Linked DNA regions of Danio rerio. The protein of the gene in region 1 purifies or fractionates together with the protein of each later gene. This does not show direct contact. Links are inferred from orthologs where the notes say so. Each region holds a gene or a part of one and is shown in the gene's direction. Other genes may lie near its edges.

Region 1 (3,614 bases):
GAAAATTTAAACCTGAGGTCCCGCCCATTAATACAGTAGCAAAGAAAAGGAAGACAAACAGATCCCAGTTGGATCAAGTCATGAAGACGCTGTGCTTTGCTGGATATTATTGGAAGTATGTGGGAAAGTTAGTGTTATTTTCTCTACTTTCTGGGAACAAATGAAACGCTGAATGAATCATATCATATCGCTGGGATAATTTGCTAAAAATAAATGCATATTATAAGACCATGAAAGTGTGTATTGACCTTGCATTCATATCAGCATGTTGTTTGAGACACATAAAACCAAAATATGACCCTTTTTAATGTATAATAGGGGCTCTTTAAATTTATCCTGGATGCTAATTCACAACTATAAATAGTTCTAATGTTGAATTATTATGTTTAAGACACATGCTTGTCATTTGTCATAGACAAGATTATTAGACCATTTTTTTTTCACTGATAAAATGAGACATTTGTCATTATCAGATTTCCTCCTGCATTATATTCAACATTATATAGGATAGAGTAGTTATACTGACAGTTACAAGTCAAATACTTGTCGTAATCATAACTCTAAAATGCGATATGATTATTTATATAATGTTTAGCTTTCAGTTTCACTTTTACTGCTGAGTGCGATTCATGCCATGACTGCTGTGCCTTTGAGGGGGAAAAAATCACACATACAAATCATACTATCTGTGTAGCTCTGTGCAACAAACTGAATGTTATTTTAGAACTTTACTGTCTGTTATTTACAGCCTATGTAGGTTCTGTTCACTAAAGTAGACATGGGCATGTGTCAGCTCCCGTGTGATTTTTGCAGTCGCGAAAACATCATTACATGAAGACAGAAATTACATTTTAGGTGAATTATACCTTAGAAATACAGTATGTGACTCTTTCAACACCATTTCGAGGTACCTTATTTGCTTAGCAACATATGTAAAACAATGTGAAGGCTTGTGCGACTACGTTTTCGCTTCTCTCATGAACTTGAAAATGTAATTGGCTGAATTGTTGAAATGCTGGATTAAGATTTTGTAAGAGGTCGAATTGAGATTGTGACCTTTTTTCGATTAATCATGCTATGTTTAACTGAAAGTAATATTAAATAATACTACTTTGATAAATGTCAGCTATTTGTCAAGGCTGTGTTACTCATATGTAATTATTAATTATTTTTAGTTTATATTCAAAAATGACTAAAACACAAAGCAAATTAATAAAAACTTTATCAGAACAGTGTACATGAATTACTGCATGCATACAGGTCAAAGCCGACACAATAATCATAAAAACAAGTGACATCAGACATGTGGCTAGAAACACTTTTATAATTGACTATCATGTATTTTCTACACATTTTACAGAAAACACCTGCCAAAATGTCATTCAATAAAACCTTTGATTAAATCTTCGTAGACATATTTAGAACAATAATTATTTGATGACATTAAAAGGATTACAGTGCAGGCCATTATTTTGTCATTTTATTTTTTTAGATTTTAATTTTTTTAATTAGGAACTTTGCTTCTAATTACATATTAGAAAATGTTAATCCCATTTCATTATAAAAACAAATCACTTACAAAAGATTGTAGATTCAAAATAAATGGTTAATACACCCAGGGTCATACATTTTAATGAACAGAAAATATATTTAATATAAACTGAATTTTAATAAATCTTAAATTATATTTAGATACGACTGAATTTAATTTTAAGAACTCCCAGTCTAATAATTCACATTGGGTGTTGAGTGTTCATAAACTGCTTGACTGTCTTGCGTTGTTTTTGCTAAGAAAAATACTAGGCTCTAAATGGCATTTATAATTAAAACATTTCCTCTTGTTGAGAAAAAAGCTTCCTGTACATTTAAAATATATATTTTTTGCAAATGTAGTTTTTTCTGTCTGTCTGTCTGTCTGTCTTTCTATCCACAACTATTTTAGCTAAAATTAAAATGCGAAGTGATTAATTAAAAATAATACAAAATAAAATTAGCTCAAGATCTCCATAAATCTGATTGATATATATACCATCCTTCCAGGCTTCTTGATTTCTGAGCTGGAGTCATCCAGGATGATCGTGGTGAATCAGCCTCAGAAGAAGGTGCAGGAGACGGGAGGCAGTAAAGTGTTCATGGAGCTGAAGGGCATCTGTATGGCTCTGGGCATGTCCAAACCTCCATCCAACATCACCATGTTCCAGTTCTTCAGTGGTATTGAGAAAAAGGTGAGATTTATTCTCAGCTGATTTATATTACTATGCATGTCATGAGTCCGCACACGTAATTGTAAGAGTAAAGTACAATAATACAGTAAAACCTCTGAACTTGGGAGTTATTCTCATCAGAATGCTTTTTTTGGTGTATGGTAGTATTTATTAAGATTTAATAATGCCTTTTTGTTTTCCTTTTTCAGTTTCTGATTTAATTTTAGTATGTTCATGTTGGTAAATTCTGTTTTAGCTTTAGTAAATTAGTTCATATTTCCATTTCAGTTGTTAGTGACTTTCTTTATATCAATTTTTTTAAACTATTATTTTTAATACTTACGATGCTATTCAGGGCACATGCTTGTAACTGTGACAGAAAATTCTTATAAATAAACACTACAATGCACCAATCCAAGATAGCATAACAGTCTATTAATAATATATTACTGTATGTTTTCTCCAACAGCTGAAGGAAGCATTGGCCAAGGTCCCTCCATCTCATATAGGAGAACCTCTTATGAAGAAACCACTGGGCCCTGTACACTGGGTAAGCTGGGATTTAAATGTTATCTTATATAATCTCTAGAAAATGTTTGATTTCAATATTATTTTGACTATAGCATTACATACATTGATGGGACTTTTTGTATCTACAGGAGAAAATTGAAGCAATTAACCAAGCACTTGAGAATGAGTATGAAGTCAGAAGGAAAATGTTGTTGAAACGACTGGATGTGACTGTTCAGTCTTTTGGCTGGTCAGAAAGAGCCAAGGTATCAGGATCTCTCTTTTATAATATAAAACAAAGTGTCACATTTATATCAATTAAGCTAAAAGACCAAGTAAAAAATGTGCCTTAAATGAAAGGGACGAAGTTTTATTGTAATTATTTTCAGACGCATGCTGATAAACTTTCGAAAGTATACCAGCCTCTTCGTGTGGCACTGGCCACAAAAACCAGAGTGTCTGTGGCTCACCTGTTTGCTGCTAGAGAAGATTTATCAAAGATCCTGAGAACCAGCAGTGGCCACACCAGGGAGAAAACAGCCTGTGCCATCAACAAGGTGGGCTAGTTTAGAATGACCTTTGTTGTTTTATTTTCCGTCTGTCTGTCCGTCCGTTCATCTGTCTGGCTGTCTATCAAATAATGGTGTAATGGATCACAAATCTCAATGTTTGAATCACACTGTGGTTTTTGAGTCATGGATTTGGCAATTTTTCAGACAAATGTAATTTCTTTCTATTTATATAAAAATGTCACTGCAAAACAATTGGTTTAACAAACAGAACTTATAAGCTGTAATTTTAATAAAAATAAAAATCAAGAAATAACCAGCTGAAAAAAGGAAAAATATTCAATACGAAAAATGATCTTTGCTACTGTTGCTGATAATGCAAAATATAGAA
Region 2 (3,660 bases), on another chromosome or scaffold:
TGTGTCATTATTTTCTCACCCTTCACTAACTTCAGACCTGTTTGTTTCTTTCTCTTTTAAACATGAAACTTTTTCTTCAAAATATCTTTAACTGTGTTTAACAGAAAGAATAAAAATCTAAACGAGTAAAAAGTAAATAGTAAAGTAAATAGTGAGTTATTTTTTCATTTTTGGGTAACTGCTTTTTTAACTATCCTTTTAAGCACAAGTCAAAAAATAAACATTTCCTTTCACTGCCAATTGTTTATCGATTCTGTTAAATAATTGCAAAAAGCTGACAGATGACATTAACTTATTACATTAGCAGTCCTTATTAACTTAAAACGTACGTTCTATCTTTCTTTATTACGTGGCTATGTTCTGCATGTGCTTTTCACAGTGACGCATGCACTCGCATTCAGTACAGAACAAGCGATTAAACTGATTAAGAAACCCTATGTTACGTTACTTGGGTGGTAGTTGATGATATTGTGGCTTATTTTCTTTATCACCAACAAGTGGATTTATTGCTGCCGTATCAGCAGCACAGCACATACATAATTATCCAGTTGTGAGAAAATGCAAAAGCATTGAAATGTATTTTTTCTCCCATTGGCCTGCCAGGCAGGTGGAAATGTATTTTGGTTGCCTGGCTAAAAAAAAAACAATAGACCGGGACATTGGACTAACAAATTTTGTGAGCTCTGTGTTGCTGAAAAATATAAAATTATTATTGATATATTATTTTACTACATTTGCCGGAGGGTATGTGTATATTGTAAAGCTTTCTTGTTATCAAGTTAATGTGATTAATTTAAAATTATAATATAGCAAAAACTTTAGTGCCCCCCACCACCCATAACACACATAAATTTACATGTACTGAAAAGATATACATACATATTTTTGCTGTATTTTTGGTCTTAAAAACAAGCACCATTTTGTTTTTCTATTATTATTAGGACTGTCTATTGATTTAAAGATTTAATCATAACTGCATTACAACATCAGGGACCTAAGTGTGTTTTTTGTATGTGTAATTTATAAAAATGCGCCGATATGAAAATGATTCGCAGAAGCGTAATGAAGTACATGGCCTAAGACCAAATACTAAACATGTTTCTTATAGTTTTTTCCTCATATACTTTGCTAAAGTTTCACTATGGCTTTAATTAAACAATAAAAATGACAGTCAATTTGGTCTTGGTTTTCAAAGAAAAGAATCAATTACAGAAGTACAAGTGAAAAATATTGTAGCAGACCATACATTTATAATACATACATTTAATATAGTAAATCTGTAAATTAACATTATATTTTTTTTATTTAATTGAATATTTTTATGCCCTTCTGTAGCTTATGGACATTTTATGACTTTTCTGAGGTAACAAGTAATTTGTTGTGACATTTGTACATGCTGTTTAGCTACTAACATGCAGCAATGTTGCGTTTTAATGCTTGAGGAGTTGTCTCTGCAAACCATCTACTGTAGTGTGGTCTGTGAGGGTGAGAAAAGTTGTCTGTTTCAGCTGTATAAATCACCATCGAGTGATATTTTAAGCTTTCGGTATCACATGAATGTGGTGAAAACTTAATTCACATTGATAGTAAAAGCAGATAACTTTTTCTTGTAGACAGGGCTATAAGACATCATGTTTGTAATCTTACCATTTGTACATTTTTCATTCTCTGTAATTTTCAACTGGTGTTGCATCTTTTACTGACTGCATGGGTTAAACAAAAAACACGTGCTGCATTAATAAAATTAGCCCTAATAGTTCTACATACATATAAATAAAGTGTACACACATAATGATATGTGACAAATACAAATGCCTTTTCTACAGGTGACTTTAGTTTATATTTATTTATTAACATTCATATTTATTGGATTTAATTTAGACAGTTTTATCATGCGTTATAAGCATTTGTACTTGTGTGTTTCAGTGTCACAGACCCCAATTCCTCAGCAGTTTCCCCATCCAAGCTCCACCCTGCACCCTCATCCACAGCACCCTCAGCCCTCTGCCACCCCGACAGGACAGCCCCAGCAGGGTACCCAGCACGGGGGCAGTCACCCGGCCCCCAGCCCCGTTCAGCATCAACAGCATCAGGCGGCCGCCGCTGCTGCAGCTCAGGCCATCCACCTGGGCAACCCACAGCAGCAGCAGATGTACTCTGCTCTGGCAGCCACCCCACCCTCCATGACCCCCGGCCCAAACCCACAGTCCCCTCAGGCCAGCTTCCCCTCGGCACAGCAGGCCGTCTATATCCACCCGCAGCATGGGTACAACCCTAACCATATGGCTCATGTGCAGCAGGTGAGTGCTAGTCAGTACTGAAGCCAAGGTTACGTCCAACTTTTACCACACTTTATGAGGATTTTCTAAAGCACATTATGGGTTGCACTTCTGATTTAGGAAACTTCTATTTAAAAAAAACAGAACCAATTCACTTCAGATTAAAAAGTTGCTCTACCAATAATGCATTGTGCCTAGAGAAATCTGAGTGAGAGGTGGGTTTGATTTTGTGCTTCATTTTTTATCTAAGTCAACATAACTCTTGGTATTTAAATGCAACATTATTATTGCTGACATATCTATGGTCAAAACTCTTGTGTTAGCTATGTTTGTTTCTCTGGATTCTTTTCTTTCTGTTTTCTACAGTACAGTAATACTCAGTGTGCCGTGTATCCGGAGAGTATTCATAGCGCTTGACTTTTTCTACATTTTTTTATGTTACAGCCTTCTTTCAAAATGGATTCAATTTATTTATTTCCTCCACATTCCTCACAAAATACCCCATAAGGACAATTATTTAATGTGGTTAAATTTTATTTAATATACAATCAAATATAATATTATGATAATGTAATGTAATAATAAATAATAATAATTTTATTACAAAATAAAATAATCATCATGGAGCAGTTTAGCAGTCAGATTTATAAACAAAATATGTGTTCTTTTCTAGTTGTAAATTCATTTTACAAAATTTACTTAGAAATTATTTTTATTTAATATGTCGAAAAGAAGATTAAGTGATATAAAAAACAGCAGTATAAATAAATATGTTGTCACAGTGGCGCAGTGGGTAGCATGATTGCATCACAGCAAGAGTGTCGCTGGTTTGAGCCCCGGCTGAGTCAGTTGGGATTTCTGTGTGGAGTTTAAATGTTCTCCTTATGTTCGTATGGGTTTCCTCTTGGTGCTTCGGTTTCCCTCACTGTCCAAAGACATGCGCTACAGGTGAATTAAATATAGATGTTTCCCAGTGATTGGTTGTGGTTGGAAGGGCATCTGCTGCGTATAAATATGCTGGATAAGTTGCCGGTTTATTCCGGTGTGAAGACCCCTGATTAATAAAGTGACTAGGGTGAAAAGAAAATTAGTGAGTGAATGAAGAAATAAATATTAAATGCAAGTAGAAAGGGTGCATTTAGGATTTGGGCCCTTTGGCTGGAATTGCTTAAGGCCCCACACTATATCAGCTCCTGATAGTACATTACAGTACAGCTACACATTTATTTCCATTTCCCCTGTCAGTAATATCAAAAATGAAAAACTGTACTATACAGTTTTTTGGAAGGTTATCTGGCACAACAAAAGAGTACCAAGGGTGGAGCTAGACTAGCTGCTAAATGCTATTCGTTTACAGACAATTGACATTTGTGTATGCAAC
Region 3 (3,660 bases), on another chromosome or scaffold:
AAAGCAGTGTTACATTTTTTAAACTATTTAAGAACAATATTATTAACCCCCATATGCAATATTTGTTTTGATTGTCCACAGAACAAACCATCATTATACAATAATTTGCCTGATTACACTTCCTTGCCCAATTAACCTAATTAAATTATTAAATGTTACTTTAAGTTGAAAACTAGTGTCTTGAAAAATATCTAGTAAAATATTAAATACTGTCATCATGACAAAGATAAACTAAATCAGTTATTAGAAATGAGTTATTAAAACTATTATGTTTAGAAATTTGTTTCAAAATCTTTGTTAAACTCTGTGTGGCATTGTAACAGAGAGAAATGAACTACAGAGAAACTTTTATGATCTAGTCTTCTTCTGGATCCCAGGACATGTCAGCCTTAAAAACAGGAAGAATGAAGAAGTGCCAAATCCCACCTTCAGATTTAAAGCTACTAATAAAAAGCTATATTCTTAACAAATCACAAGTCGAATGAGATATAATAAACTTTTTAAAGTCCAGCCAAAAGTATGGAGAAAATTCACAAGATGATTCGGACATTCCATATTAGACACTCAAGACTTACTCATGAATATTTACTCGAAGAAGTTTCCCCCAAAGTGTCTGTATTCAACAGAAACCAAACTGTTAAACATGTACTCTTAATATGCCCAGCCACTATTTTTGTTATCAGAAGTTATCTGGAGAAACTTTAAAGGAAATATTTTTAAACATAAATGGCATATTTTTTATTAAAAGTAAACCTTTTAAAGCTGTTTTAGATATTTTTTATCTATTATGTATTATGGATGTCTTAATTGTTAGATTTTCTTTGCTACTATGGAAAAGCAATATTTATAAAATGCTGTATATTTGATCCGGTTTTGCCATGAAATAGCCAGAGAGTCTGATATGGCAACTGTTACACCTGGCTCAAAGATGTGACATTAAGGGAGACGACACGGCGAAATAAAGTTAAAAATCATATTTATTTTAACATAATTGAAAATAACAATCAAAACATCCCTATCAGTATGTTTAATCAGTGTGAAAAGCAAGTGAATGGCTGCAAAACAAACATAAAGCCCGGATTGGAGCACAGCTCTGGCCAACTGGCCAAACAGTGAATGAACAGCAGCCCAGACAAACTCTCTTACTGTGTTTAAATAAGGGAGCTGACGAGCGTCATGTGCGCTAAAGGCATTCCCCAACCTAGAACAGACATAAAACACAATCCTAACACCACAACGCAATCCTAACTCAACAAATTCAAAAGTCTCACTCTTGTAACAGATTATTTATTATTATGGTGATCATTATAATATGATGATTTACCTATTATATGATTTTTGTGTGTGTTTTCAGACACTTTCACAGACTCTGCAATTGGCTCATCAAGATTAAACGGTGACCACAGAGAGAAGGTCCTCCAGAGGTGGGATGGAGGCGACAGCAATGGAGAGAACTTTGACTTAGATGCAGACACAGTGAGTTTCACGCATTCTTTGTAAACACAGCAGTAATTGGTCACAATGGATGTTTCACATGCCTTTTGCATTTCTTTTTCTCCATCTCAGGCTAATGGTTGGGATGCCAGTGAGATGTTCCGCTTTAATGAGGAGACCTATGGGGTGAAGTCCACCTATGACTCCAGTCTCTCCATGTACACGTATGTTGATCATTTTGTTCATTTTTAGATGTTTTTTTTTCAGGGTGCCTGACCTTGTCGTGATCATGGTGGTTTTTAGATTTGATCAAAAAGATTTTAATACCTTTTCAGATAGTTCATTAGGCATCTTAAATATAAAGAACTGAATCCAAGAATCTATTTGACTCAAGACTCTAATAGATCTTTATTAGTATTGGTATTTGTATTTTTTATTATGCTTTAGAAACTTTTATGATTGTAAACATTGTATTGAATATATATTACTACTGTTTCCATGAATCTAACCAGGGCTGCCAAAATGCCGCTGAAACATGCAAACAAACATAACATTTTTTTTTTTTTTGAGTTTTAATTTTTGTTTAACTCTCGCTGAACTTTTCATCATATTCTATTGTCTTTCTCTCATAGGGTTCCTCTGGAGCGGGGAAGCTCTGAGGGCTTCAGGCAGCGAGAAGCTCGAGCCGCCCGATTGGCCAATGAGATCGAGGCTAGTTCACAGTATCGCCACAGAGTGGCGCTGGAGAATGATGAGGGAAGAACTGATGAAGACAAATTCAGTGCAGTGGTTCGAGACCGGGAGCGTGAAGCAGCAGAAAGAGAAAGGGGAAGAGATAGCCCTGGGTTCTCCAGTGCTGGGAGCAGGTTTGACACTCATTTATTCATTTAATTTCTAGCTGCAATATGATATAGTCTTTCTCTTTACTTCTGGTTGTTGATGTCTGTTTATCTTTGTTTTATTTTAGGGAGGGCAAATACATTCCTCCCCAGAGAGCAAGGGAGCGAGAGATGGGAGTTTCTGGCAGGGGTGAAAGAGGTGGGGCTGTGTCCACCCTGCCTAATCGAACAAATCGACCCGGACCATCAAGCTCCTCCCCTAGACCCCTCCCCTCTGCTAACAGCCAGGCCCTTCCTCCCACTGATAGGAACAGCTCTCTGTCAGTCAGAGGAGGATTCTCTACACACCAATCACAGAGCAGCACGCCAACACAGTCCCGGCCCTCAGAGCCGGGTCACTCCAGCCCTCCTTCCCCCCACACACTCTCACATTCACTCTCACACCCTCAGTCCCTCTCAGATGTGGCCCGGCCTGTCAATGGAGGTAAATTGCGTCTACGATTTGATGTTATTTAGATTATTATGCTGAATTCCATTTTGTGTGTTACTAATGAACATGTTGATCTTTTACAGTTTCACCCAAGTCTCAAAGGACTGGACAGACTAACAGAAACATGCGTACCTCAAACTCCCACTCCTCCCCTACAGGTAAACCAAACAGATCTTCTGTACCCACACTAGGTCTTTTGCAATGTGATCACGGTTTTTAATCATGCTTATTTGTCCTCCGTAATGGTAGCTGACTTTGTAATTTTTGCTACTTTACCATCTGGCTTATAAGTAAGGAATAAAGTACATTTTGGAGGCTATCATCACAGAATAACACCTGACAGGCTTATCTGAGCTTTAAAAAAACTGCCTGGAAGTACTTTATCCCACTTTATATATGCATTCTTGCCACAGAATGTAAAAATTAGACTCAAAACATTTGTTCTAGGCCATAATAGTTTCATTCTTTAAAGCAAAGCTGACAAACAAAACCAGCTGAATGGAGCTGATTGAGCATATACACTAACCTACAAATCTTTCAGTCACAGAGTCAAAACGTCTTGACGGATGAGGATATAAATATTCAAGTGAACTCATTCCCTGACTGTCAGGATGAATCAAAGTACCAGGAATAATATAATTTGAAAGATCGCTATCACCAAATTGAATCAAGTATTTCAGACAGCTGTGTAATTACGAATGTTAAAGAGCCCCTATTTTGCATTATAAAGGGTCATATTTTGGTTTTAGGGGTCTCCAACAACAAACTGACATGCATGCAAAGTCAAAAACACTTTCATTATCTTAAAATATGCATTTATTTTTACCTAATTATCCCAACGACTCCCATATGATTCGTTTCTCGATTCATTTGTTCCCAAACCCCTCCTTTGCATGA

Evidence for each region.
Region 2: the proteins of fam98a (region 1) and atxn2 purify together in Homo sapiens (co-immunoprecipitation; 3 studies listed by BioGRID and IntAct, counting the BioPlex papers as one, with this or other methods). This does not show direct contact. The link is inferred for Danio rerio from reciprocal best matches to the Homo sapiens genes FAM98A and ATXN2.
Region 3: the proteins of fam98a (region 1) and atxn2l purify together in Homo sapiens (co-immunoprecipitation; 3 studies listed by BioGRID and IntAct, with this or other methods). This does not show direct contact. The link is inferred for Danio rerio from reciprocal best matches to the Homo sapiens genes FAM98A and ATXN2L.

The regions. Positions count from the first base shown.
Region 1 is NC_133192.1:24,534,799-24,538,412, reverse strand, and holds part of fam98a (protein FAM98A), read left to right. Parts: intron 1-2,040; coding exon 2,041-2,225; intron 2,226-2,673; coding exon 2,674-2,754; intron 2,755-2,863; coding exon 2,864-2,980; intron 2,981-3,103; coding exon 3,104-3,271; intron 3,272-3,614. UniProt on the Homo sapiens protein: Positively stimulates PRMT1-induced protein arginine methylation. Involved in skeletal homeostasis. Positively regulates lysosome peripheral distribution and ruffled border formation in osteoclasts.
Region 2 is NC_133180.1:42,538,993-42,542,652, reverse strand, and holds part of atxn2 (ataxin-2), read left to right. Parts: intron 1-1,926; coding exon 1,927-2,300; intron 2,301-3,660. UniProt on the Homo sapiens protein: Involved in EGFR trafficking, acting as negative regulator of endocytic EGFR internalization at the plasma membrane.
Region 3 is NC_133178.1:14,057,311-14,060,970, forward strand, and holds part of atxn2l (ataxin-2-like protein), read left to right. Parts: intron 1-1,354; coding exon 1,355-1,476; intron 1,477-1,566; coding exon 1,567-1,658; intron 1,659-2,066; coding exon 2,067-2,300; intron 2,301-2,401; coding exon 2,402-2,757; intron 2,758-2,846; coding exon 2,847-2,921; intron 2,922-3,660. UniProt on the Homo sapiens protein: Involved in the regulation of stress granule and P-body formation.